Linked DNA regions of Rhinolophus ferrumequinum. The protein of the gene in region 4 interacts with the protein of the main gene of each other region in a pairwise test. Links are inferred from orthologs where the notes say so. Each region holds a gene or a part of one and is shown on either strand. Other genes may lie near its edges.

Evidence for each region.
Region 1: the proteins of CEP70 (region 4) and FAM133A interact in binary tests that used the Homo sapiens proteins (3 or more experiments, as listed by UniProt). The two-hybrid records come from large-scale screens. The link is inferred for Rhinolophus ferrumequinum from reciprocal best matches to the Homo sapiens genes CEP70 and FAM133A.
Region 2: the proteins of CEP70 (region 4) and ZNF227 interact in binary tests that used the Homo sapiens proteins (3 or more experiments, as listed by UniProt). The two-hybrid records come from large-scale screens. The link is inferred for Rhinolophus ferrumequinum from reciprocal best matches to the Homo sapiens genes CEP70 and ZNF227.
Region 3: the proteins of CEP70 (region 4) and TAF1D interact in binary tests that used the Homo sapiens proteins (3 or more experiments, as listed by UniProt). The link is inferred for Rhinolophus ferrumequinum from reciprocal best matches to the Homo sapiens genes CEP70 and TAF1D.

Annotation. Positions count from the first base shown.
Region 1 is NC_046284.1:60,758,903-60,766,518, reverse strand, and holds the start of FAM133A (protein FAM133A), read left to right. Parts: upstream 1-4,612; 5' UTR 4,613-4,833; intron 4,834-5,447; 5' UTR 5,448-5,517; intron 5,518-7,616. Other genes in the region: NAP1L3 (nucleosome assembly protein 1-like 3), read right to left, coding at 2,661-4,124.
Region 2 is NC_046298.1:40,959,547-40,967,026, forward strand, and holds the start of ZNF227 (zinc finger protein 227), read left to right. Parts: upstream 1-4,472; 5' UTR 4,473-4,673; intron 4,674-4,988; 5' UTR 4,989-5,152; intron 5,153-7,480. UniProt on the Homo sapiens protein: May be involved in transcriptional regulation.
Region 3 is NC_046294.1:64,901,719-64,909,501, reverse strand, and holds the start of TAF1D (TATA box-binding protein-associated factor RNA polymerase I subunit D), read left to right. Parts: upstream 1-4,782; 5' UTR 4,783-4,987; intron 4,988-6,482; 5' UTR 6,483-6,546; coding exon 6,547-6,605; intron 6,606-7,342; coding exon 7,343-7,718; intron 7,719-7,783. UniProt on the Homo sapiens protein: Component of the transcription factor SL1/TIF-IB complex, which is involved in the assembly of the PIC (preinitiation complex) during RNA polymerase I-dependent transcription.
Region 4 is NC_046300.1:37,673,584-37,680,490, forward strand, and holds the start of CEP70 (centrosomal protein of 70 kDa), read right to left. Parts: upstream 3,008-6,907; 5' UTR 2,877-3,007; intron 2,867-2,876; exon of another isoform or gene 2,609-2,866; intron 557-2,608; 5' UTR 488-556; exon of another isoform or gene 454-487; intron 1-453.

The DNA.
Region 1 (7,616 bases), on a different chromosome or scaffold from region 4:
CATGTAAGTAAATCTGTTGCCATACCCATTCTTGATTAACAATTTAGTGGTTTCCAGAGGGTAAGGGAGGGGGTGGTGGTAAAAGAGGGTAAAGGAGATCAAATATAGTGATGGAAGGAGAACTGACTCTAGGTGGTGAACACAATGCAATATGGGGACAGAGCCAGGAGTGCAGTTTCCAGGCTCTTGGCCTCACGTGGAAAGGTGCTGGCTCAGGTAGTAAATGGCCATCAACTGTGATTGGATGGCCATCAGCTGTGACTAGTTGGCCGTCAGCTGTAACCAGTGAGCCATTGGCCACTAATATAACTGCCGTGGCTAAGATAGCAGCAAATGGGGGCGAGCAAGAAGATGGTGGTTGGCAAGCGCGGATTGCCGTTAGGATGTTGGGTTGCGGACAGTGTGGTTCCTGCTTCCTGTGTCTCCAGCCCAGCCGCCAGCAAGAATATAGTGTTATGACTCCCCTATCTATGGCTCCGTGAGTGTTCCTTTTTGGCCTCACCCCATCCTGCATTCTTCTGTGGGGAGCGGGACAGGAGACCCTGCATGACACCCTGAATGACAGCAATATATAGATGATGTATTATAGAATTATAAACCTGAAGCTTATATGTTACTAATCAGTGTCACCCCAATAAATTTAATAAAAAAATAATAAAGTAAAAAAACCCTCAGAAATAAAACAAAAGCACTTTCAAAAATTGCAATGGTATCATTAAAGGCAATCATTTGCTTCCTGATTTTGTATAAATCGTAACCTATATCCAAACATATGTGATTGGTTAAATATAGTATATCATGGCGTGTAATATTTTATGGATATGGGGATATTTTATAGATATGTAATATTTTATATATATGTAATATTTATAGATAATATTTTATAGATATGTAATATTTATAGATATGGGGACTATTGTTAAGCAGGAATAAAAGCAAGATAACGAAACTACATATAGTGGGATTTGGGAAAACTATTACGTAATTTTACTGCCTAGAGACCCAGAAATTCCCAAATCCTGTCTTCCTCCTACCACATCTCTTTCCTGTAAGGTCTTGAAGGAAAACATATGTGGACAGGGAAATGGCAAATGAAATAAAATGCCACGTTATTATTTATTTTGTGCCTTTGTGTCCACTGCAGAAGCTCTCTGGTAAACTGAGTTTAAGGGTCCTCCTCCTCACACTAATTTCAAATGAAAATCTTAGGATCAAATTACCTGGTAACCAGCTGCACAGTGCAGAAGTGGTGACAGGACTCTGCTACCTATAAGACAAAAAATAGCCACACTTGGGAGTATGACCACCTCCCTAGTCCAGGTGAAGCCTGGACCTGGGACATTTACCCATCCTGCTCGTCGAAGTGAAAGCAACAGTTTATATACAAGTCCTTTCTGGGGGAATCACTCCTGCCTTCCACCTCCCCTTTTTCCTCTCCCCACCCGCTCCCATCTTTTCCACTCTTCACCCTCCTCCCTTTCCCTATCTGCCCTCTCCCCTCCTCCTCCCTCCCTTGCTTTTTCTTAAACCCTCCTCCCATTCCCTTTCCCTTCCCAGCTTCTCACCTCCCTCTTCCCTCTCCCTTCTTCCACCTTCCTCCATGTTCCCTCCCCCTCCTATCTGCTTCTCTCTCCCTTGTCTGGTCTCCCACCCTGTCCCTTCTCTCTAATCACTTGAATGTGTATCCTCCAAAGAAGAGCTAAGATTTGGAAAATATAGCAGAATGTTATGAGTTAGACTTTTTTAAAAATTCCCTTTCCCTATTTTCTACTTTTTCTACAATAAGCCCTACTTTTTATAATTAGGAAAAAATGCTAGATTTTTATAGCATGATACACTTTATTTGACATTTATTTATTTTAGGTTGCAACTGAAGTACATGAAAAAATATCAAATGATGTAGTGATCATTTTCAGTGAAAGGCAAAGTAGAACACAGTACAAAAAATGTGGTTAGTAATTTAGTTTACAGTTACACTCTATAGGAGGAAACTTTTAAATACTATGTCATATTAACACTTCAGTGGTAAACAGTAACTTCAGTATGATTACATTTATAGACCACACACCGTCACATAAACAAGCTCAGTCACATCATATATAGTACTGATAGACATTCTTAAAAGTATGTTCATCTTTTTTCAAGCAAATTTCACAATGCACTGTTCTAGTTAATATAAGTACTATAGCAAAGTAATGAAGGCACAGATAGTGCAAGCAGATTTAAAGCCCTAGTCTTCTGGGCTAGAAAAAAACAAACACACACTTGTATTGTTACTTTAGTAACTTGTTTTGTTCAAGCAAATATTTGTTTGGGATAACAATTTTAACAGTTTTCACAGTTACATTCTGATAGGAACATGACAAAAGGATTTCACAAAAATCAAAACTCTGTAGCACCAAACTAACATGCTTCAGATAACGGACAGCAGTTTACAGGTTTTAAAGAATATTACTCTACAACAGGCTATATAAAATAAACTGACACTTAGACATTTTAAGACAGTATTTTAGACCACCAAGAAAATACAAAAGCACAAGGCTGTAAAGAATACTAGTGTTGAGGTTATAGGACAGGTTTTTTTTCAAGGCTATATAAACCTGCTTCGTTTCTGTCTGAAGTTTTGAGATCTTGCAAATTCTTTTCAGGTAGCTGGTTTTTTATTTTCGATATTTCCTGTTTCCATAATCTTTACCATCATCATAGGTACCTTTGACTTCTCCTGTATAGTAATAGACTGATTTCAGGATGACATTATCATGTAAAGTTCGACCAATTTCAAAGTCCTCATCAAGGATAGCATCTTCTCGTGGTTCCAGCTTTCCAATCTTAGGAATCTCAGGAGGGTTAAAGAAATTGAAGAATGATGCTTTAGGAACCACTCTGGGCCGGATTTCAATTTCTCCAGTAGCAGTTGTGCGACTCTGAGTGGTTGTCACCGTAACGTCCTTTCCTCTTCTCCAAATTATCTTACAGCCTTTGCAATCTTGAATTTCCCATCCCCAAGCAAAGAAGGGATCATCATGATCTGGTTTTGACTTTATTATATATGTCTTGGTCAGTACCTCATTTCTGAAGTATGGGTTGGGCAGAAAATAAAATTCAAATGTGTAACTTATAGGCTGGCCAGGTTTTGAGAACTTCAGGCTAATATCTGACAGGAACTTCAGAATGGGCTCATCATATTTCTGAATCCTGGGCCCCAGCTTGTCAACATTCTTTAAAACAGTTAGCCAATAGTCAGGGATGCCTTTAGGATCTTCTCTTTTAGGCCTTCCCTTACGAGCTCTTTTCAGATTCACTCTTTCTTTAGGCCTGACCTCAGGAACTCTTTTAGGAGCCTCTTTTACTGCAGCACTTGCCTTAGCCTCTGTTGCTTTAGGCTGTTCTTTATCTTCTGCCTTTGCCTGGGGAACTTCTTTAGGCTCTTCTTTTACTTCAGGCTTTGCCTCCACAAAATCTTTAGACTCTGTTCTTTCTTCAGCCTTTGCCTCCGGAATTTCTTTAGGAACCTCATTTTCTTCAGCCTTTACCTCAGGTTTTTCTTTAGGGTCGTCGTCTTCTTCCTCACCCTCTAAAGCAGGCATTTCACTAGAGCTGTCTTCCTGTACCTCCTCATCACTGCTGAACACCTCATCCTCTGAATTCCATTCACATTCTTCCTCTGTAGGTTCATATTCTGCATTGATGATTTGAAACCGCCGATCATACAGAGGCTTATTGAGTTCGGCATATTTTCTTTCGAGATCGTGAATTGCCTTTAAGAATAGGGCGTCTACCTTGTCACATTCATCTTGAATATTTCTGAGCGCCTGCACACGATTTCGAACTGCCTGAGGCAGCCGATCTACGAAATTTTTACCCGACGGAGCACGCCGCGCCCTTCTGGAAGGCCCAGGTACCCTCTTCTTTCTATATAAGTAGCTACGGCTGCGGCTACTGCTGCTGCCACTGCTGCTGCTGCGGCTGCTGCTGCCGCTGCTGCTGCTGCCGCCACTAGTGCTGCTGCTAGAGCTACTGCTATCAGATTCTTCCCCAGAATCACTAGACGAGCTAGCCATCATCTCTTCAGCAACCCCATGGGCGGCAGGTTCCGAGACCATGTTAAGATCCGCTTCTGCCATAGTGCAAGCCTGCAAACCTCTTAAGGTGGCGGCTACCGCTGAGACCGCGCGCCCAGAGATGGGCAGAAAATGACTCACGGATGCTTGGATGGCCCAGGCTCGGGATGAGGAGGCGGCAGCGGCGAAGGCAGCAGTAGCGCAGGGAGGGGCGGGGCTGCGGCGATCGCGCGGAGGTGGCGGCGGAGGCCTGACCCGAGCGGCGGCGGCCAGCTTCTCCTGGCGACAGCTATGGCGGACAGAGGCGTGCCGCCGCGGAGTGGTGCAGTGTGAGACCCCGAGATCTCTCCGCCGTTTACATCGCAAGCCCCCTCCCCTTCCAGCCCTACCTCCCCTTAATTTAGTTCCCAGTGTGCCTTTAGCTCGCACCTCATTTGTTGGGAAAGCTTGATTGACGATCGCTAAGCCCAACGAATGCGCAAACGCTGTGCGCCCCCTAGGCTCCGCCCGCCTTCCCAGATGCTTCTTGGTAGCTGGGGCACACACCCCTGGAAGACGTTTTATCCCTACAAAATTCTATCTTTATAGTTTTATAATTAAAAAAAAAAAGCTTAGATTGAGGTAAAAATACTAGCCATAGTTCCTGACAAGGGAAGAGGAGTATCCTTCTCCTGTCCGCTCATCCTGAATTCCCGTTTGATTTGTCAGGGGCCTCTTCACAAAAATCTGTTTTTAAAAACTTGGATGAAAATACTTCAAATGGCATCCTTGGGTAGTGTGATTAGGCTTTTTTTTTTAAATCTCTATCTAAATATTCTATGAGCATGTATTTTTACACTGAAAAAAGGGGGAGTCGTTTATTGGCAAAGGGGGGAGGGGCTAGAAAGCAGGCATATTGCATTCCACGTAGCAGTTTTAATAAGTGCTGTCTGTGATGTTTGGCAAGCCTGCTTTAATCCATCTACAAGGTTTGCGAACCCCTGTTGCCGTGAGTCAAATTACACCATTTTTACTATATTTCTGTTTTTCAGCTGGCATATAATACACCCCAGCCTTGCTGCTGACTTGCCACGTAGCCCTTCTCAATGTTTACAACAACCTTGTAGATAAAATAAAAGGGCATTCAAATGTTGGATAGTATTATTTAAAAGCAGAGGGTTTGCTCTATACTTTTGTGCAGCAGTTTTCAATTCTAGGAACAGAAGGATGGGAGGGGGGATTTGTGCTAGGGAAAGTGCATCATCTGTCAGAGTATACGTTACAATGTCATCTGCCACCCATTTGCTGCAAACATTGTGAAATTCTAACCGTACTCAGTATGATTTAGAAGTCCATTAATATGCAAAATGAAGTTTAAAAACAGGTATCTGTTATTTTTATTTACAGGATTCTTTCCTGCTACAGAGCAACTCCCTTGGTACAACCAAAAAGACCAGTGTTTACTTTTCATTGAAAGGTAAGGAACATATTTAGCCCATTTTTATGAATGACAAGAATTACCTATCTGTATATGAATAAATTCACAGGATGTAGTCTTTTAAAGACTTAATTGGAAGATAACTTGTTATTTCTATGAAAGCAGAAAAATCCACAGAGGTGATTTGACATACTAATGTAGAAAATAATTAATTACATTCACTATCTAAACGTGCTCATAGAATACAAGTAATAAATCAAAATATAAAATATAATGAATTATTCATTTCAAATAAGTGAAAATATGAAAGTTAGATGAACCTTTATGTTACTTTTTCATTATAGGATTTGTGCTTTGTCATATTTTTTAAAAGTTAGGAAGCACCTTTATTTTCTGTTTTGTAAATGAATTTACTTTTATTTCTGATTGTCAAAGGATATAAGCATTGTAAAGAAAAAATACAACTTAGAAAGTTCCAATGATAGTAAAAATACACAATCTTAACAACCGGATGATAACTGTTGTTAGCGTTTTCATGCATTTCCTTCCAGAAATTTATTTATACATACACACGCCTGCCTATCTGTATATACTGTTTTTCCTATGTGACGTGATATTATGTTTTGTAACCTGCTCTTTTATCAATTTATTGTGGCTATATTTTCAAGGTAAATGATCAACGTCTTATTTTAAAATAGATGCATATTCAATAGAAATATTTGCCTTAATTCATTTAACCAGATTCCTGTTGCAAGGCAGCTATTTCCCAACTATCTCTCCACTAACATTTTTTTCCAGTTATAAAAAATTAGTTCTGTATACCTACTATATATACTCGTGAAAATTAGTCATAGGATGAATGCCTAGAAATGGGAGTGCTGAAATGGTACGCTCATTTTATTCTTTGATACTTATTGCCAACTTCTCTCCTGAAAAGTTATCTCAATTTACAGTCCCACGAACAATGCATAAGAGATCATTATTTAATCATTCTGCTAATATATTTTTATGCCTGTCTCATGCCAGGCACATGTAGTAAAGGATGGCAATATAATGGTGAATAAAATTTACTGGGTGTGTATCCTTTCGTTTCATACTTTTAATGAAAACATATAATTTGGAAACAATAATTTAAATCAGTGGGGTTATGCCATAAATATTGCTCTGTAACCTGTTATTTTTATTTAAAATTATGGATATCTTTTTCATGAATGGTCTTATATTTTTATAGTACTTTAATGGCTTAAAATACACATTAAATTTTGTACCATCAGGAATTAGTATTTTGGAGTAAGCAGTGAGTTAGGGATCCAGATTTTTAAAATATGTATGTATTTTTTTAATTAGCTAATTTTCTTGGTACTGTTTATTTGATAATCTTTCTGTCTTACACTTACTTGAAATACCACCTGTATCATAATAGCTAAATCGCTTAATTTTGTTTCTGAATTCTCTTTTCTGATTCATTGGCAATAATTTTTCAGCAAGCAACTAATGAGGCAGTTTTTTTAATAGCTTTATATTTTGTGGAAATGATATACATTGAAAAGAAGACAGCTACTACAATTGAAATCCAAATAAATTAAAAGTAATTCAAAATACACTCAGAGGTGATCACTATTCACATTTTTAATGAATATCTCCAAATTAATTTGTTATTATTATGTATTTGTCTTAGATTAGTGATAAGATTAAATGTCTTTTCATGTTTATTGTACACTTGAGAATTGCCTATTCATATATTTTGCTTGTTTTTCCACTCAATTAAGAAAGAAATTAATTGGTGGTAAAATCCTAAAGGTAAAATATAATTTTGGCCTTGATTGGAGGCAACTGTGACTTATGATATTGGACAAATATGACTTAATTACAGCTTTTATTCTAAAATGATCTACTTAAAGGGTTGTTAAGATGCTTTTCAAAGATTAGTAATTAATCATTTAAACTGATACAGAAAAGTCTGGAGTGGAACAGGGAGAATAAAAAGAGAACACAGCTTGTAAAAACCTCATACAAAGATGATATATTAGTAAACTGTTCATATTTTCAATTTGAAAGTATTTTTTTCCCAAGCCATAAACTATAGGTGACTTCTTGTAACCACAATGGTCTACTTTTATTGTGCATGCATTACCTAA
Region 2 (7,480 bases), on a different chromosome or scaffold from region 4:
TCGGTAGGTGCCAACAAAACAGACACTACCACTCGAAAACGGCACAACTTTACGAAGGTTTCCTCTGGCTTTCTGGAGATTACTACCCAGAAGCTCAGAGTAGTTCGAGGTATTTCCGCTCCAGGGGCGGGGCTATGGTCTCGTTTCTCTCGGGCATTCTGGGAAGTGTAGTCTGGGGCAGTGTAGTCAGCCGCACTTCCGCTTCTCGCCGGCAGGGCTAGGGAATTCTGGGAAGTGGTCCAGGCTCCTGTTCTGTCGTCGGAGGGAGATACTTTTGACTGTAGGACGTCAAGGATGGTGTCTTGGATCCCCGGAGCCCCTCCAGTCCTGGGACTGCCCAAGCCGCCGCCAGATGCAGAGCACAGGGATGGGAGACGTTTGCGTTCCCTTCTCCTAACCTCTCGTTTGGAGCGGTTCTTGCTCCTCGGGTTGGGGGCGGCCCGGGTCGCATACGCCTAATTTGAAGGTCTCTTGGCGTTCCTCAGCCGACTTCCCGTACTGTCACTTCCGAGAGTAACAAACATTATGCGAGTTACTTAATCTCATTATCCTCATCTCCAAAATAATGTCATCATTAGTACTCCCTCATCATTTTATACGAATTAATTCATTAAATGACAGCAACAGCCTTATGAGGTAGGTGCCGCTATCAGCCTTTATTTTTAACGGATAAGGAAACGGAGGTAATATTAGAGAAATAAAACACCCTATCAACACAGAAAGTCCTTTCTTCACAATGTAGAAAAGAAAGCCATCTTATTACTGAATAAGCACATCAGAGTACAGTCTTGTAAGTAATTTCCTATTTATATAGTCAAGCAATCATAAACTTTTTATAGCATTCTGTTTTTAACTACTAGGTATATACATTCTCAAGTTAGCGGTGGAATCTTGTCTTCCTATAAGAGGACTTGACTACACCATTTGCTGCAAATTCTTTGATAAATTTATCCAAAATTTACTGTGAATGAAGTCTTAGTTCATTGATTTTATCCAAAGGAATAGTAAAACTTATCTTATCATTCCCTGCTAGCAGATTTACAGAGAAAGGCACCTTGGTTAAACTCCCACAGTGATAGGGACACTCACTTTCTCAGATGTTTACATTCGAAAGGGACAAACCCAAGACATTTGAAAACACTTCTGGGTTGTAAACTTGGTTAAGAGTCAGCCTCTAACAAGATTTACATGCATACCAAAAGATTAGAGAAAGGATGCAAAAGCACTAGGTTTCTTTTGGAAATGCTCTATGAAAAAGGGAAAGGAAAAATGGATTCTTTAGAGAAGGAAAATCCTCTTTTTTCATTTCCTCTTCATGAGTTTATGTTGTTTGCCCAAGATTTACAGCTAGTAGGAGCAGAAATGCCATTTAAACCCAAGGATTTGGAGCCTCCAGAGGGAATTTTTAATCTCTATGCTGTACATTATTTTAATCACAGGAAATAGTTGTGTATATGGCTTGAGGAAGCTTTTCCTCTCAGGTTTAGAAGGTGGTTTGCAGCTTTATAGTTTATATTTCAATTATAGAAGAAATGCATGCTCATTATAGAGAGATTGGGAAATACAGAAATATAAAAAGGAAAGAATTGAAATTAGCCATAATTTCAGGATTTAGAGATAAACCACTGTCAACATTTTTAATGCATTTATGCATTGGTGCTGTGTTACACATATTTTTTCCTTAACGTTTTAGATGGAAATGCCCAAACATATGCAAACAGAGAAAATAATGTAATGAAACTTGCCCCCCCGCCATGTTCACTCATCTGCAACCCTTGTCAACATTTTGTCTATCTTATCACATCAATTCCCCTTCTCACAAAAAATACTTATTTGGGGCTTGGGGACTTGGGGAGGGGGAGCTGTAATATTTTAAACCAAAACTAAATCCCAGTCATGGAGTGAGTAGAATTTAAAAGCCTTTAATATAAATTGATTGTATAGGGAAAGCAAAAGGGTTAACTTCAGAATTTTCATTCCTGGCAGATGATAGTTATGTGAGAAAGCTAAGGGACACACAAACATTGAGATTTGGACAGGAATAATTACAAATTTGTTTTTTTATTTGGAATTTGACTTGGCACAATCTTCTAGATCTTGGTTTCCAATCTGTTTCTTCCATAGGCTGCATGCCACTTTGTTGCAGGGAATATGCTCCATTCTCTTTACATTTTGCTTAGCACCTAGCCAGAGACTAGGAGAGAGGAGTTCTTCAGTGGTTGAGGCTGTTACGGTACAGGGGCCTGCAGCTCAGTTAGACTGTATTCAGAATTCCTGAAAAGGATTTAGGAAACAACAGAAGGGAATAATATAGACTTTAGTGATTCCTTATCTCACTTTCAGTGGGATGCAGAATCTACTGATTTTCTCATAGCATTCAAATTTGAATGTAATTATTGATATCTATTTTAATGACTTAAAGCACACTTATTTAGAAACCTACTATCCGTAATTTATGTGTCCAGTGTTTTCCACCAAGGATAATATTTCCTAACTTTTTATAGGGTTGTCATGAGTTTGAGTTTCCAGTGGTTTTATGTGTATTTGTTCATTTGTTCTTTATAGCAACCCTATTATTTATCTCCATTGTACAAATGAAGAAGAAAGGGACAGAGCTCACAGAATAAGTGGCAGAATTAGTACTTTAATCTTGGCAGCCGATTCCAAGTCTGTAATCTTGGTTATTGCACATTGCTTTTACTAGTCTACAAAACAAAAGCTACAGAGGTCTTACTGGATCAGGGAATATTTAAGCTATGGATGAAGACTATGACCTAGAAGAGAAAAGAGCAGAAAGATGTGACATAAGGAACATGGGTGGACATGTAGAGTGGAACGTGGATTTGAAGAGGGAACCAGATATTTCACGCAAATGGAAACAAGAAAAAAGCTGGCATAGCAATACTTATATCTGACAAAATAGATTTTGAAATGAAGACTATACTAAAAGACAAAGAAGGCCATTATATAATAATAAATGGATCAATCCAACAAGAGGACATAACCCTAGTAAACATCTATGCACCCCATATAGGAGCACCTAAATATGTAAAACAAATATTGACAGACATAAAGGCACACGTCAACAGTTACACAATAATAGTAGGGGACTTTAAGACCCCACTGACACCAATGGACGGAACCTTTAGACAGAAAATCAACACAGAAACAGCAGCCTTAAATTACACATTAGACCATAGGGATATAATAGATATTTTTAGAGCATTTCACCCCAAAGCAGCAGAATATACATTCTTTTCAAGTGAAGAGGAAACCAGCATAGGGAAGATTCCTGTTTATGTGACTGGCTAAAACTTTTGTTTCTTCTCTTTGGGGTACTAGATAGACATGCGGGTGAAAATAATTGAATTTCCACGTTAGGATATATCTCTCTGGCAACACAAAGGACAATAAATTGATTGAAGTTAAATATTCTGTTCATGTTGATTAAGCAAGATGTGGTCAATGTAGTGGGTAGCACTCAGGTTCTGGTCATCGCACACCACATTTGGAAACATGGCTCTAGCACTTACAGTAATGTGGGAAAATTACTTAACCTCTTGCTGCCTCTGCCTCCTAAACTGTAAAATAGAGGAAACAATGGTACTTACTTTAAAAAAAATAGTTGTGAAGATGAAGTGTCTTAAGAGTGGAATAGTCCCTGGCACACACTACATACTCCATAAGAGATAGCTGTGTGTAGCAGAATAAAGGTATATATGCTCAGTAAATGAGAAACGCAAACATGTATTGTGTGTATTTATGGATATGTCTTTACAGTGACCATGTTTAAACATCTAATTAACAATGTGTTTATCTTTCAAATTTGTAAATTTCCTGAGGAATGATTTCAATGACCTCTACTGCTTTGAGAAGTTGATCATACAAGTCTGTGCTGAAGCGTGGCTTTTCACCCTGAGTATGTCTAGTTGTCCTCAACAGGCAAGTTGTTCTGACTTATTTGTGCTATTAACAAACGTGGAAATCTGTAATATAATTCTGCCTCCGTTGCTTTTTTTCCCATTCCTTTTATATCTAAAAAGTGCCTGAAACTGCACAATAGAGGCTATCATTTTTTTCCTTTTTCGGGTAGTAGTGGGTACAATCCTATCAGTAAAGCATCACGTGGTATTTCTTACAAGACTGACTTCAAATATTTACTAGTGTTATGTTTCGTTTCTCAATGAAAAACAGCTAAACTCTACTGGCGTCAAGAGATATGCTTGAGGCCGGCAAAATGGCGGGAAGCCACTAAAGGGATTTGTGGAAGCTGTAAGTTTGTAGGCCGGGAACTCCAAGAATTTGGCGATTTTTGTATTTTTTATTTTTAGTAGATCTAATAGGGCGGACATGGTTCTTCCTCCTCTTGGAGGTTCTGGGAAATGTATTCCCCATCTCTGTCCGGAAACAAGGTGCTTCTGGGAAGTGTAGTTCCTGGGTGCCGAGTAGTCAAAGGCACTTCCGCCCCAGGATAGCGAGGCCATCACTGTCCGGGAGGTGAGTCAGCCCTGCGCCCCGCGATTCCTCCGCGCCTTTTCGGCCTCACTGCGGGACTGGTCGCTACCTAGCCGGCTGTCTTAGGATGGAGGAGTCGCGGCCGCCGGCGGAGGCTGAAAGGCGGAGGGCGGAAGCTCTCCTGGCCGGCTTATCATGCAGCGCTGCTACTTCCATCGGTACTATATGTGGCGAGTTATCTCTGCGCTCTCCTCTCCTCCTTAAAATAGCGAGAGAGAGAGAGCAGTTACTGGGGAGGGTTGTGATTAGAATTAAATGAGACAATACGTGTCCAAAGCTTAGGACAGTGGTGGCACATGATAAGGAGTTGGCTTTGCTATTGGTACAGTGAATTCCCTCACCGGCGTCCTGTTAACTGGAAGCCCCACTGAAGACAGAGGTTAGGGCTATAGGAGCAAGGCCGTGGCCCTTCTGTCATCCTTCCGGAAACAGAGCTCTTCCCTAACTTTACTGAGTTTTTATCTCTTTTTTAGGAAACACTGAATCACCCCGCGCTAGTGCTTGGGGATGTCCTCTGCCCCTGCAGTTTATCCCGGAAACAGAGTTTATCGTGCTATCCCAGTGCATCCTTTTCTTCACCACTCCTGAATTCGGAAAGGGGAAGAAGAAGGGATTTCTTGGCTTTTCATAGCCCCAGGTACGTGCTACTCAAAGTACTTTCCTGGTCTGTCATCTATGTTTTCGGTTAATCAGGTTTCCTTCAACTCAGTAAATTACTGCTAGGAAAATGTTCAAATATTTGTTGAATAAACCCGCAAATGTTTAATTTGTTTCTTAATATGTGTGTGTCTATTTCTACACCCCAGATATTTTATATATTTATTTTAAATACATATTCATTTTTAAATTTACTGCGCTTTACATTTCTTTTTGTTGTTGCTCTCTTGTCTTCAGTTTAGTTTGTTCCCTTTTATTTGCTCTCAACTGGTTTGGAAATTATGGGCTTGTGGTATTCTTTTAATTCTTATAAATGATTGTCTGTCTCAGCAAATACTAAATTTAGTCAGCATGTATTCTCATTCTGAAAAATATAGAGTAAAAATATATTTGAAATTTGATGATGGCTTCCCACCACCCCCACCACCACCTTTTTTAAACTGTAGGCTGAGTTATAGATACACTTTTTATTATAACCACCATCCAAATTTGTCATATTATTTCTGGGTTTTTTTTTCCTCCCCCTTCTGCCGCCTTCCCCTGCCCCTGTTCAAGCTGTTGTTTCTCAGTCTAGTTGTGGAGGACACAGCTCCCTGGCCCAGGCTGGGATTATGAGCCTCCCCACCACACCCCACCTTGAGGCAGTTGGTGGTCTGCTGCTCACAGCAGCCGGTGGCAGCTCACACCAACCTGGGGAGGACAGCCCAGCTCTAGGTGTTGAGAATCTTAGCTGTAGAGGGCGCAGCTCACTGGCCCATGTGGGAATCCAACCATGGACCTCGGCATTAGGAGCATGGCGCTCCAACCACCTGAGCCACCTGGCAGGCTGGCTTTTTTTTTTCCTTAACAATGATATTACCAAACATATTTACAAATGTTTTCTTACCATTGCTTCAGAGTTCATTTAGTCATAAATTCATTTCTGTTCAGCTAAAATGTCTTTAACGTTTTAAATTAGTTAAATAATCATTTAGTTGAGCATAGAATTTCAGGTTGACTATTTTCTTTCTTCATTTTGGAAATATTCAGTTGTTTTACATCTCTATTGTGTTTCCCTGTTATTGTCAATCTGTCATTTCTGTTAGATAAACTGTATTTTCTTTCTGGGAGCTTTAAGGATTTTTGTTGTTGTTAGTTTATTTATTTGGTCTTTTGCATTTCTGAGTTTCAATATGATCTGTTTAGGACTATACTTACTTTTATTTGTACTGTTCATAATTTCCATATATGAACTCAGCAGCTAGCTCTTGAAATAAGACTTCTCTGCCATTTTTTTTTAATTAAAGTTTATTGGGGTGACAATTGTTAGTAAAGTTACATAGATTTCAGGTGTACAATTCTGTAATACATCAGCTATAAATCCCCTTGTGTGTTCACCACCCAGAGTCATTTCTCTTTCCATCACCATATATTTGATCCCCCTTACCCTCATCTCCCACCCCCCAACCCCCTTACCCTCTGGTAACCACTAAACTAATGTCTGTGTCTATGAGTTTTTGTTTCTTCATTTCTTTGTCTTTTTCTTTTGTTATTTGCAGTTTTATATACCACATATCAGTGCAATCAGATTGTTCTCCACTTTTTCTGTCTGACTTATTTTGCTTAGCATTATAATCTCAAGATCCATCTATGTTGTCGCAAATGGTACTATTTCATCTTTCTTATGGCCGAATAGTATTCCATTGTGTATATATACCACAACTTCTTTATCCATTCATCTATCGAAGGACACTTTGGTGGTTTCCATGTCTTGGCCACTGTAAATAAAGCTGCAATGAACATTATGTCTTTATGGATAAATGTTTTCAGATTTTTGGGGTAGATATCCAGAAGAGAGATTGCTGGGTCATATGGTAATTCTATTCTTAATTTTTTGAGGAACCTCCACACTGCCTTCCATAGCGGCTGCACCAGTCTGCATTCCCACCAACAGTGTATGAGGGTTCCTTTTTCTCCACAGCCTCTCCAGCACTGGTTACTATTTGTCTTGTTGATGATAGCCATTCTGACTGGGGTGAGGTGATATCTCATTGTGGTTTTTATTTGCATATCTCTGACTAGTGATGTTAAGCATTTTTTCATATGTCTATTGGCTGTTTGTAGGTCCTCTTTGGAGAAATGTCTCGTCAGATCCTCTGCCCATGTTTTAATTGGATTGTTTGTTTTTTTGTTCTCTGTCATTTTTTTACATTCTCTTACTCTCATACTCCTTATTATTAGACAACTGTTGGGGGCTGTCAAGCTATCCTCTGAGTTTCTTGTTTTTTCTTTCATATCTTTCTCTTTGCTATGTGTTTTTCTTTTTCTC
Region 3 (7,783 bases), on a different chromosome or scaffold from region 4:
ATTTTAAAAATATATGGTTAAGTGTATTTTACAGTAAGTAGGCATATATACATAGAAATTAGTATCTTACCTCAAATGTTCAGGTGATGAGGTGTGCAAGCAGAGGGAGATAAATAAAATGAAGGCAAAAGAAAAAAATAAACCCAAACAAAAGTAATAAGGTGGGTGAGAAATCCCACTGGAGGCTAGTTGCAATAGGGTATAAAGGCAAAACTGGAGAGTATCTCTAAGAGCACTGTTGGAGTTCTCATTAAAATTGTTAATGGAAAACCTCATTAATCTGAATAGTCTGGTCCATGCTTACTTAGTAACTGAAAGGTGACCTTCAGCATCCCTGAAAAATTCTTTCAAAAATTTCTTTTTAACTTTTCCAAAGATTCACAAGTTTCTTAGAAATTGGGTTTTTAGTTTTGATGATAATTCCAAACACATCCCCTACAAACATGCTATTGCATACATTTAGGACTTGACATTTACTTTAGTACTTTTATTATCCTTTAATTACTTAATAGGCATAAACTGGTCTCAAATAAAATATAAACAGTTGATAATGGGCCCCAAGTCCTATATAATCATAATTCAATTTTCTCAAACATTTTTGAATTGAATAATCTATAACTGTTCAGGAATTAGCCATTTTAACTTTTGAAATAATGTCAGATGGACAGAAAATTACATACAAATAATTCTGTATACTCTTCAACAATATTTCCCAAGTATTAACATCTTACCACATTTTCTTTATAGAAACCAGCAAGTACTAATTAAGAACATGTCAAAATCTGCTCAATGAATAAATACATTTATAATGAGGATAATAAAAGCACTAGATATTTCTACTTATAGTAGAAATAATAAAGACTCAAGTTTAAATTCAAACCTGATTTTACACCCTTTAAAAGATGATCAGTTGTTTTTTTGCTTTTTGTTTTCCCCAAACCCACCAAAATAGAAACAAAGTCCAACCCTGGGAGGCTACTACCTGAATAATTGGTTTAGAAATGTAGAACTTCAGCCCCGCCAACATTCTGGAAGGCAGTGTGGTAGTGCGTGTATAGTGTGAGAGGGAAGAGGAGGTTGGAGTTGGAGTGATGAGAGAAAGGAATTATAAAGGTTGTAATACAAAGTCAGAGTGGCCACAGGGGGACAGCTTTGAGCCACAGGGAGGCACACAATATTTATTCTTCAGATTCCATTGCTGGGAGTCAGTGGCCCAGAAGTAAGGTCTAGCGAAGGGAAGAATAGAAATAGGCAGTTGGGTAAGTGGAGCTGCAGAAACAAGGCCCAAAAGGGGTAAACAAACTATGGCAACCAAGCTGATAACTGTTTATTAACTGCATATTATGTACTAGACACACTGTTAGGCACTTTACATTCTCTCAAAACCTCTCACAACGATGTATGTTATCCTCATTTCATAAAAGAGAAAGTCAGTTAAAAACACTATATTGACTAGAGATCACTCAGCTATTAACTGGTAGAAACAGAATTCAAACTAAGTCCAGCCCACTGTAAAGCCAGAACTTATTACTTTATATCATGTGAGTTAACTGGTGAAGGAATGACACATTTCAACAAATAGGAAGAATTTGCATAGAGTGATCTTACAGTACTCAGAATGTTGGGGTAGATGTTGGAAAATCATCTGTGAGAGTACTCAAAGGGCAGGAAGCCAAGGTTAACTAATCAATAAAAACAACCGCTATGAGGGCTGGAAGACCACAAAGAAAATTGACAGGCCCGGGAAGTTCCGACTTAGATAGATGCAGGCACTTTAGATAGATGCAGGCACTTTAAGTCTAGAATCTGTCCTTTTCTTGACCTTAGCTTATTAGCATAGTACAAAACACACCCCTGGGAGATTTCATATGCTAATTAAACATGCTATGCATGAAGCAGTAGGTTAGAATATGTACGGCCACTATGCCTGCGCAAAAAAGTCATGAGGAACCAGCAGGCGGAAGCCAGCAGTTTTCCCCGAGCAAACAAGAACAAAGGACTGAGAAACGTGTAAAAGGTGGACTCAGCCAGATGAGGAGGCACTCCAGCATTAGTTGTGAGCTCTCCTGATGCATCAAACCATCCCATCCTCCTTTAATAAAAATTCTTTTCTCCTTTACTGACAACTGGTTATTTCATTGTTTCTCGCACGATTTCCATCCTGGGAGAACTGAAAACCCAACCCACAAGTTGGGTAACAGGAGTTACCTGTCACCATCTGTTGCTCTGTTTCTTCCCCCTAGGCTGTGATCCCTGAAGATAGAACTGTGTTTCTCTTATCTGACTTCTGTTAAAGAAGAAAATTCAACTGAGTAAATTTGAGGATCTAATTAGCTTTATTAAGCGATTCATGGATCAGGTAGCATCCCATCCAGCAAGTAGAAGGGCGCTCCCAGGGGTTGTAAAAAATAGAAGGTTTTTATAAGCAGAAGGGTGTGGCTGGCAAGATACTAGCAAAAGAATAGAAAGGATTATTTTTAGGCCAGGTCATCTTTTGGGGTAAAGGGAATGCCAAGGGTTTTATCAAGCAGTTTACCTCACTAGTTTTGATCAAGATATTCTATACCGATTACTTAAAAATTCCACTCCTGGGAAAGGCTAAAATTGCAATTAGACTAGTTATTAGGTTTTGGTTTGGTGAATGTGCTTAGCAAAAGTGATCCCATTTTGCCTTGTTTCTTTTTCTAGCACTTCCAAGTGTGTAGCAAACTGGACACCAGTTCAGCCTAATTATTTACTGAACATTAACAATGTACCAGACTTAAGGCCCTGGGACAGGGCTGGCTTCATGGGTGTGCAACTAGGGTAGTTACACAAGGCAATATGCTCAGAATGGCACTTGGTTTAATGCTCTGTTGTCACCATCTTGAAATTCTTAATGTTATGTTTGAACTTTTGTTTAAGACTGATAGGACAAAGGAGCATGCTTGGGATGAGAGGAGAGAGGCACGATGTGCACGCCCACCATCATTCCAAATTACCCCCATTCACATAAAGCATTTGTGAAGCTGGGTAAGCATAGAATTCTGGTGGACTCATGATACATGGGGGTTTAGGAAGACTCAAAGTGTTGCGGAAGAAATGACGAGGACCGAGAGACTCAAGCGGCTCGCAGAGATCAGGGAGAACACAGCTTTATTACGCTAGCAGGCTCAGTGGGATTGTTCCCAAAGAACTGAACACTAACTGGGGTCAGGCGCTTTGTTTTATATGTTTAGGCCTCCAGGTTGGGGGGGAAATCTGGCCAGGGGGCCAGGGAGATCTGTCCCTAGCAGCTGTGTTTCTTTAACATTTGTTTTGACAGGGAGGCCTCTAACTATTGTCCCCGCGGGAGACATCTCCGATAAGGTATGGGAGGAGGAGGGGGATTGAGCTCTTAGGGGGGCTGCCTGCAGGAAAAACCATCCCAACAAAAGTCCTCAGATTCCATAGTACCGATAGAGTGTACATCAAAAAGTAAAATAAATACAGGTGAGTTAGTTTTGTGCATTCCCCACCGTTTTAGTAAGAACAGTAGATGTTTATATGAGTTATGAAATATGAATTGTGAAATTTCAGTGATTCTCCATACGAGTTAAATGTTCTTATATGTGTATTTAAAACTGGCAGCGCACAATATAAAGAATGGTAAAATTCATGCTAATAATTTAAAATTTTTCTTTAGAGTGAATTAAATAGCAAATTGATGCTAGTAATTAATAATAGCATAATTAATATCACAATAATGCTATCAATAATAAACTAACATTTTCCCCCTGATTTTTGAACAAGGGACCTTGCATTTTCATTTTGTACTGAGCCTCACAGATTACATGGCCAGGCCTGCTCCTGAATATGGCCGTAAGATATGTGATACTTACCTTTCATAGACTGGAAATGCCTAAAGGATTAGACTTTACGCCTGGAATTGTTCAATATTTGGAGGAAAACTGAGTGAAGAGACCAGATTACCTTCCACGTCTGTCCAATCCTGAGATGACAGTAACTATAAACTAACACTAGACAGCTTTACTGGTTTATCATATGATAAAAGAGGTATGAAAGTGGACAAATCAAACCAGCTAGTTCCTTTTTGTAACTATTTTGGGAAAGAAACCCCACCAAAATTTAGCTAGTTTAAACTGTTTTAACACTCAGTAACCGTTTAGGGAACTAAGGGGAAAAAACAGAAAAAAAAGTTGTTTTCTCTTGTGATACGTTAATCAACTCCTGAGAAGCTGACCCCTCAGTTTGAAGTGAAAGAGGGAGCTAACAAGTCCAAAGGTGCAGAGAGGAACTGGGTGTGCTACAGAGTAACACTGGCTTCTAGTACAAAGGTTACGTATTTTGAATAATGGTCAAGGCATGATCCTTTCACAATGTAACAGAGAACATTTTTTTTTGAAGACAAAACTATCCATAATATGACAAAACACACTCGGCACCGCACACAGACACCCCACTCATCCCCACACCCCCACACACCCTGGACCACAGCTAAGCAAAGGCGAGACCACCGGAAACAAATCATGTTGAGTGGCTGTTTCCTCTCAGGTTGCATCCATTCCGTTCATTTGATCCTACAATTTCTTTTTGTCATTTGCTGAAATGTTCTTGGCTGTTCTACTTACCTACTGGGTTAGGGAAACCTGCACCAGAATCCTGTCTCTTTCAACTCCGCCTCCTCTGAGTTCCCTAAAGCTCCGCCCACTTTTAATCGCTCCTCTTTTCGCGGAGATCAAAATGGCGTCTCCCGCCTCTCATTTTCTTTCCGGAAGTACATTGTTACCGCGAGATTTTGGCCCCACTATTAAGTGGGTCGCGCAGTTACCTCAGCCTTTTCTTTCGGTCCTTGGAGAGGTGGGTAGATGTCGGCACGTTGGAGTGCTGAGCCCGGAAGGTTGCTGGGTGCAGACCCCCGAGGCCTGGGCTACAGCCTGCGAGTAGGCTGCGGAGTTCCGTAGTGAGCCGCTCCTTTTTGGTGCAAGCTGACTGCCGACCTGGATGGGTAAGGAAGAGAACATGGCCGCACGGGGCTGGTGGGGCAGGGAGGGGTTGCTTTTCTACCTTTTACCGGGTCCACCACGTTGCTTAGGGAATAGCGAGCCGTAGAAGTCAGGCCTTGAGGGTGGAGGGCTCGCGGTTGTTTTGGGCGTGATCCATTGTGTCTGGGTTGTATTATAAAGTATTATCGACAAATACAGGTTTTCTGAGTTAATTAGTGTGAAGTAACAATTACGCCATTTTCCATGCATGAGGTTAGGTCCTTCCTGGAAACACTCGCCCCAAGGTCACACATGGTAAGTGGTTGAAAGGTATAGTTAGCGCTGGTAAAGTGCATTGTCTGGCCACGTGGCCTCTCATCGTAGAATCTTAGAATAGGAAGCGACGCTTAAGTAGGAATGCTTTCTAAACAAGGGTCCGAAAAAGTGGCTTTTGAGTTAACTCCACTTTAACCTCAAGAATACCACCAGTGCCTTTGGTCCAAATTTTGTTGAATTCGTTTTTGTGCATTTATTTCGTGACTTAATTAGAAGTTGCATTAAAAAACTACAATGATACCATGAAGATACCACGTGAATCTGCTGGATATTTTACAAATCTAAGATCTTTGTGACTTTATTGATTTCCAATATTTGAAATATTTTGCTATTTTATCCTAAGATTCCTTTCAATTTTGTCATTCCCACCTATACAAAAGTGGCAGAATGATAGCATCTTCTATAAGGGAGATGCAGTATTGAGATGTTATGTTTTTTAAAAATTATTTTGTACCAAACTACTCTAAAATCTTCCAAAGAGATTTTTTAAAAGGAAGACAAAGGGCACCATTGTAGTCTTAATCTTTCATTGAAACGTTTGAGAATTCAAAATTTTTAAATTAATACCCATAATGGCAAAGAGATAATATGCCAGGAAAGAGGGTTTCATTGATTTTGATAAGCCGTATTATGAATGGAAAGAGGCCATAAATGAAAATTCCAGACCGGGAGTTTAGTGTGGTGTATTGGATTGAGATAGTAAATTGTGATGATTATATTTCCTGGTATATTGAGGCCATGATTTGCCTTCTTGCTTTATAAGTTTTTCCTAGGAGTTCCTATCTGCTCTTGGAAAATGGCTTTTGGGCCACTAATTGAATGTTAATACTCGTAATTGCACATTACTATATGGCTAGTGATGAAATTATATTTTTTACTGTTATAGGAAGATGTTTGATATTTTTCTTGGGAATGACAGTACTTTTCTAGAATCTTGTTCCATTGGATAACTTTGGAGACACAAATGAAAGAACTTGTGAATAAAACTTCTAGATTTTAAAATTTGATCTGAAATGGTTGCTTCCTAAATGAAAATATTGAAGGCCTGTAAATGATTTTTGCCATGATTTACATATAATGGCATAATCTAACTACATCAGATTTTGCATTTTGGTATATTAGCTGTTTGTGCTGGCATTGATTTGTTCAAGGAAACTACATATTTGTTTTTTATATTGTCAGAAATTTGGTTAAAGCAAAGAACAAGTGACATATAATTTTGACTTGGAGAAGATACATATCAAGAATGGATTCTCTTGACTATGTAACAGCATCTGATTCAGCTATGGAAATTGACAATCAAAGGTAAGTGCATTTTTTTTGTGTTAACCACCAGTTTTTTACTGGAAAACACTAGATTCGATGATAATATTTACTGTATTTGAATCACCAGGAAGGCATCAATCGTTGTAGATAATGAGTGGTAAAGGTAATTTTCAAGAATTAGGAATGAAAAGAAAAACCTGGTTTACATAGACCTTCCAAGTTTATGTACTTACGTAGTTAACAGTGGAACACTTTCTTAACCCAGGAAAACAGTATATTCTCTGGGCCAACTTAATATCTATCTCTTCCTGACTAACTCTAATTTTATAACAAGAAAATGGACATCAGTGGGCAATCTTGCTTAAAAATCAACTTCGGAAAATAAAAACACAACTTATTGCACATTATGCTTGGCTTATGTCTTTGATGGCGGTATCTCCTTACTTCATCTGTTGTTTTCAATGGGTAATCAAATCAGTATTTCTAGTATACCTACTAGGCAACTCTTGAGTTATTTAAAGGAGCCTCCAGCATTGAACAAGACTGCCTGAGTAGAACTTGTATTTCTCTTGGAAGTTTATTTGGTGAGTGCTTTGGCCTTTGGGGCTATTTTAAAGTAGAGCGATCAGAACTAAGTGCTTGGCTAGTACTGAGCCCATCTTTAAAAATTATCTTGAGCATGTTTTCCTGCTTTGGTGAAAGAAAAGTACTTTACTGGTAATAAGCATTCTATTATATAAAGAGGATGCAATTAAGTTTCCCCCTTTTTTCCCTAGTGATAACTCTTCCTCTGGTAGCAGCTTATTTAAAACTCAGTGTGTTCCTCACTCACCTAAACGGAGGCAAAGAAACACAATTAGAAAGTTTGTTCATTCACCTGAAAGTGTTGAAGCAAGAGATTCATCTAGTGACTCATCTTTTGAACCAAGACCATTGACTTTAAAAGCTATTTTTGAAAGACTGAAAAAAAAGAAGTATAAAAAGAGGAAATATAAGCCAACGGGAAGACCAAGGGGAAGACCAGAAGGAAGGAAAAACACTAGAAGGTCACAAATAAATAAACAATTTAAAGCTAAAGGACCTGGGTTCCCATTTTTAGAATCAGAGAATGGGAGAAAATCACTACCTTGGAGAAAAATTTTAAGCTTTGAGGTGAGTCAGTATTTTATATATGTGGATATACCATAGCAAAAGTGCTTGAAATGATTTGTTGGTCA
Region 4 (6,907 bases):
TGACCAGCAATCTTTATTATCTTAAATAGTTCCTTAACCTCTCTGGGCTTCATTTTTTTTTTTTTAATTGGGGAATATTGGGGAACAGTATGTTTTTCCAGGATGCATCAGATCCAAGTCAAGTCACTGTTTTCAGTCTAGTTGTGGGAGGCACAGCTCAACTGCAAGTCAAGTCATTGTTTTCAATCTAGTTGTGGAGGGCGCAACTCACTGGCCCATGTGGGAATCGAACCGACGACCTTGGTGTTATGAGCGCTGCGCTCTAACCAACTGAGTCAACTGGCTGCTCTGGCTTCAGTTTCTTTAACTGAAATCAAAATATCTATTTGAGAGGATTACCAAGAGGTCAAAAGGAAATACATGTAATGTACCTAGTATAGTGGTCAATAAATAATAAATCCTTTCCATGGCCTCCCAACATCTAGAGAGAGTCATCCATCACATTAGACATACCTCAGTCATAGCACATTCCTCTTGCACTTTTTACCTGGTCATTCCAGTTGATCTCAATTAAATGATCACCCAGTAAGTCTCAGGTCTGAAACTGGATCTTCATCTAGGTTTCAAAAAAAATAAATAGACCACAATCTTAAAATGTTCAACCTCATAGTAAGAATGGTCTTGTGTTATTCCTAGAGCAGGCCTCCGTGGTACTAGTAAACACTGATCTGAAGCTGGACCAACTGAAGCTAATGGACTCCAATGCTCAACACCATGTGCCTTCTCTCTTCTCCTTTCCCCATAACTTTCCTCTCCCTGCCGGCAGTCTAAATCTATCATCATCTAACATCAATTCTGACTTCTGGCTTCAAAGGTAGAATATTCTTATTTGCAAGGGTACTGAAAAGCAGCACTCTCAGAGAAACAAATACCACTGAACACAAAAGGCAAAGGCAGGAAGAAAACTATCTCCTCAATTCTACCTGTGACCAAGTCCTCCCTTTTAGAGGACCATGCTGTAAAATTAATGCGCCAATAGTATCTAGCAGCCTTTCCCACTCAGACTGTGACAGGACACAGCTGGAACTTTGAGTCATCAGAAGAGACCAAAAGCTTACCAAGGCCAAAATAGAATCTAGCTTTAAGGAGTGTCATACCTAAAGTAAGACTGTGGGAATGGGAGTTGCAGGGTAGGAGTTGGTTTGTACATAGCATAAAAAACCAAGTGCAAAGAAGCAAAACACAGCTATATCTTCCAGCACTGTGCAGGTTCCCCAAGAGCCCTTTGGTAACTTGCTCTTTACAGGTCTGAAGTCCCTTTAACTGTACCCTTCGTTAGAATGTAATTTTTTTCACCACTTTTTGGGCAGGAAAGCTGGAAATAAACCATGGCAAGTGTCACACGTGGTGTCATATGGGGTCTCTGATCCCGCTCCCTGCATAAGAACGCAGGATATGGTGAGGCCAAGAAGGAACACCAACAGAGCCATAGATAGGGGAGTCATATCACTATATTCTCGCTGGCAGCTGGGTTGGACACACAGGAAACAGGATCCACACGATCTGCAACCTGCGGTCCGCTTCTCTGCCAACCAACAAACCCCACTTGCTAGCTGCAATCCGCGCTTGCTAGCTCAGCCACCATCTGCTGCTAGCATAGCCACGGCAGTTATATTAGTGGCCAATGGCTCACTGGTTACAGTTGATGGCCATCCAATCACAGTTGATGGCCATTTACTACCCAAACCAGCACCTTTCCACGTGAGGCCAAGAGCCTGGAAACTGCACTACTGGCTCTGTCCCCACAGCAAGTAACTATTCTTTTTGAAGTGACTCACATTAAAATCTGTAATTAGCTTTCTCAAAAGCATTTCCCATTATGGCAATAAATGGTATAGGCAATGTTTTCAAAGTCTCTGTGAATTAAATACAAAAGCTCTATTCCAAAAATGTATTAACATGCTGTTTAATAAGAAGACTCATGTTCCTAAAAAGAATTGAGTCTACCACAGATAAAGGAATGGAGTTAGGACTGGATATCATCTCGACCAAATCATTCTGCCCCAGAAGTTACATAAAGGGACAGAATTCTCCTCTCCCCGCTTTGAAGCAGAAGCTGAGGCAAAGCTTTAGTAAGCCACCTCTTCCCCAAGTTGGGGTGGGGTAGGCCGGGGTCTACTAAGCAATACTGAAAGTAAAAAAACAACTCATGTAGAGAATTGAAACCAATATGGGTTAATATCTGCACCGTGTTTAATATTATTACAGTTAGAACATAAAGTGGTAGTAGAAACCCTTTCGGATTGGTCTCTATGTTACGGGTCTCTCAGTCCTCCAACATTTACACCTTATCGATTTTCTTAATAGAATCAAATTAGACTGCATAAAGTCAGAAGCCTCCGGAATGAGCCTAATAAACCGGAGAAAGAATACTCACCTACCCCTTTGCATATACCCTCCCCGCTTTTGCTCCAAGTCTTCACTCGCCAAGCAACCTTCTCAGACTCCTTGACTCAGAAAAGTGGGGCGGGTCAGACCTGACCAACTCTCGCGGATCGAGTAATTACCTACAATTTATCCAGAATCCAGTCTACACCATGTATCATTCTAAGCTTTACATTTATTGTCCCACTTAACCTTCTCCACCACCATGCAAGGCAAGAATTACCAGCTGTATTACATAAATGAAGAAACTGAGGCGCTGAGACATTACATGAGAAGCCAAAGATCACAAAGGGCGGAGAGCCAGGACTGGAACCAGGTTTGTCAGGTCCCCAATCGTAAGACTGGAAGCGAACCCGTCCCAAGCGGTTCCTCTCTGGAGTCCCCGACAAGGGTCAGTTTGACCACTCGCATGGCCCAGGTGAAGCCAATTCCGGGGATGCTTCAGGTAGGGGCTCTGAGCGATGCCTCTGTGAACCTGGAGCGCCACTCACCTTCTTCAGCCGCCTCCCCCCAGCAGCAGCGCGCCCAGCCCCGCCGGCTCCACCGCCTTTGCCCCGCCTCCGCGACCGTTACCGCGGTGTGGGAGCCAGGCCTATCCAGCCCGAGCTCGTCAAAGAACCGCCCTCTGCTCCGCCGCCGAACGCCGGGATTTTTCACCGGCCGCCCGGGGAGGCTGGGTCAGCCCCGCGCCCTCTGGTTGGCTCCGCTGTTGGGGGCGGGGCTCACTATTAACGATGACGCAAGATGCTGTGCCTGGTTTGCCGTCTGCGTCTGCGTACTCCTAGCACACTTGTTACAAGCTCTGGCCTCGCAGGAGTTCATATCACTTGGCTGGAGCATCAACTGGCAGAAGAATTCAGAAATACACTTTTGAGGAGGTGAGGGGAGAGAGGCCCGGGCCTCCTGGCCAGCGCAGGCTGCCCTCCACACAAATACACAGGAGGTGACTGCGAGCTCTTGCTGCAGGACAGGTCAGCCTGTTCTGTAAGTTCCAGACCTAGCAGAGCACTGCAGCGCCTGGCATTTGGAGGACCCCAATAAGGGTTTGTTGATGACATTTTATTCTTCCATTCAGCATTTTCCCAATCTATGCAGTGTCAAGCCTACATCGGGCTCCAAAAATGCAGAGGTGGTTGACGATATGATCAAAGTCTAGTTAGGGAGAAGGGTATACACTTTGAAATTAAGATACAGTGTGGTATGATTAGAAAAGGGTGCTGTGGGGACAGAGCCAGAAGTGCAGTTTCCAGGCTCTCGGCCTCACGTGGAAAGGTGCTGGCTCAGGTAGTAAATGGCCATCAACTGTGATTGGATGGCCATCAGCTGTGGCTAGTTGGCCATCAGCTGTAACCAGTGAGCCATTGGCCACTAATATAACTGCTGTGGCTACCCTAACAAAAGATGGGGGCAAGAAGATGGTGGCTGGCACAGATTGCAGTTAGCACGGCGGATTGCAGCTAGCAAGGGATCGGTTGGCAGGTGGAAAAGCGGACAGCAGGTCGCACGTCATGTGAATCCAGCCTCCAGTGAGACTATAGTGGTATGACTCCCTTACCTATGGCTCCGTGGGTGTTCCGTTTTGGCCTAGCCACATCCTGCATTCTTATGTGGGAAGCGGGAGCTGAGGCCACGCAGGCCGCCCTGCGTGACAGTATTATAATTAAGCCTGGGCCCCTTTGATACAGCTCATATCTGCCCTCCCCAAAAATCTAACTCCCAAAGCATTTACAAATATAATAACTAAGAAAGCTGAATGTGGGGCCAGCCGGGTGGCTCAGGTGGTTAGAGCTCCATGCTCCTAACTCCTAAGGCTGCCTGTTGGATTCCCACATGGGCCAGTGGGCTCTCAACCACAAGGTTGCTGGTTCAACAACTCGAGTCACGCAAGGGATGGTGGGCTCCACCCCCTGCAACTAAGATTGAACATGGCACCTTGAGCTGAGCTGCCTCCCAGATGGCTCAGTTGATTGGAGCGCATCCTCTCAACCACAAGGTTGCTGGTTCGACTCCCGCAAGGGATGGTGGGCTGTGCCCCCTGCAACTAGAAAAAACTGCAATTGGACCTGGAGCTGAGCTGCGCCCTCCACAACTAAGACTGAAAGGACAACAACCTGAAGCTGAATGGCACCCTCCACAACTAAGATTGAAAGGACAACAACTTGACTTGGAAAAAAAGGCCTGGAAGTGCACACTGTTCCCCAATAAAGTCCTGTTCCCCTTCCCCAATAAAATCTTTTTTAAAAAAAAAGGAAAAAAAGAAAGCTGAATGTGTTGCATCATTGGAGAGGCAGAGGAGGAAAGCCTTAGGAAGTGTGCTAAGCTGGGATTTTATCCAGGAGGTAATAGGGAACTATAGGCAAGTTTTCAAAGGGCGCATAAAATGGAAAGGTTTTTGTTTGGGTGTCTTCAAGCCTAATTTTCTTGCATCCTGATATATAGGTAAAAACTGTTCAAACAGTCTACAAATATGATCACTGCTTTGTTTTTTCTACAAAAGGAAATCAATTCAATCAGCTCTATTTTTCAGTTCAACAAGTTGAGGATATACAAATAGGGTCCCTGCCCAGCATTTTTAAAAACTCGTAGGGGATTAAGTGATCCAAAAATTCCTAAGGGAAAATCTAACGTCCATATACCAGGCGTCTCATCTGCCCACCATTGACGTTGCATTTTATAACCACATGGTGTCGCTGTTGACAACTTGTATTTTCCAACTGGTCAAATGACGCACGTCAGTGGCGATGCAGTTCCCACAATGGCCAACAGGGATCTCCCACGGCAGGAATCAGCCAAGGCATCTCCCACAAGAAGGCCTCCGTCACAGCTCTTACTTTCAGGCCCATACTCAGCCTTACCTAGGCAACAGGGCCCACTGTGAGTTTGATCTGCCCCATACAAACATATCCTGAGTTCCAAAAGGGAAAAGGGGTTACCATAATTGGGAATTGGCACTGGGGTGGATGCTCCTTGAATCACATGAGTTGGAAGGTGGAGGCATGTCTACTTAAGTAAAACAGTCCAGTAAGGGGCGAGAGGACAATGGATGCTAGATGGATAACCAGTATCCTTCATGATCTTCAAGCATGAGAAGGCTGAATACTTTCTATTTCCTAACACTAGACCCTTCCTCTCATTGCTCCTGGATTTTGGGTGTAGCAAGTAGAGGGGAGGAAGCTCTAGACAACTGTCCTCTAAAGGAATTCTCATCTTAGGGACCACCATCTTATGACTGTCCAGCACCTCTCTTTGCTAGAGAAGGGAAAGACTCTGTACACAAGTTCAGTCTTCAGCTCAGCATCCTGCTGCACTGGTCTTAAAAGTTTTGTATGGGCCTCATCCACTTATCAGGATTGTGATGGTTCTAAACACTTATTTAACATCCACTCATTTACAAGAAATTTATAAAGTGCCTGTTATGTACTAGGGATTGAACTAGATGCTGAGTTTACAGTGGTGAGTAAACCAGATGTTGTTCCTGCCCTCATGGAGTTTACAGTCTAGTTGAGAAGAGAAATGTGAAACAAACACAAATAAGCATATAATTGTGACAAGCGCTATGCAGGAAGAGAACAGGGGTGTGTGGAGGAGGCCTTTCTGAGGAAATGAGATTAATGAGGTGTGATCAAAAAATACAGTGAATGCTGCTGCTGAGTGCCATCCAACGGAAAGGCAGGGATCTTCAATACGGAAAGTGGCACATCGAATCTTAGTAACAGTGTGACAAGTTTCAACTTGTTTAATGCAGTCTGTTGGGTGTGAGCTATGGTTGAGAGAAGGTGTGTTTCAAAGTGTGCCGTAAATCATCCTCCATCATGACAACGCTTCGTGTCACACATTGCTTCTGGTACAGCAACTTCTGTCAAATAAAAACATTACGGTGTGTCCTCATCCACCTCATTCACCAGAACTGGCACCATGCAACTTCTGGCTCTTCCCCAAAGTCAAAATGACCATGAAAGGTAAATGTTTTGAATTGATTCAGGACATCAAGGCAGCCACGACAGCGCAACTAAGGACACTCATGATAGAGGACTTCCAGAACTGCTTCAGAAAGTGTCAAGAACAATGCGATAAGTGTGTTCGAAGTGAAGGGAGTATTTTGAGGGGGATTAATGGCAATGTGTCTTTTACTGTAATAAATTTTATTTAAACATTCACCATATTCTTTGATCACACCTCGTAAGCTGTGATCCAAAGCCACTCTTCATTTCGGCTTACTGCTTTCCTCTGTGCTTGGCCTTCTCAGTATAGATTTTAGCTTTCATTAGCAATTAAACAGATCTTTTCATTTCTAAACTTCTAAACTGATTCTCAAATTTTCTCCTGGGTATAGAACTATCAGGTTTCTTCCCACCACAAGGAGTATGTCAAATATGAATGACATTGGGTGATGAATTCTTTAAGATTCTTCAACTCACAAGTCTTTTAGACTTAGGCTCCTTTTTTACACTAATAATTTGTTTCTGCGTCCCACATGAGAATTTGAACTCCTGGGGACATGGATCATATCTTACTTTTTCCA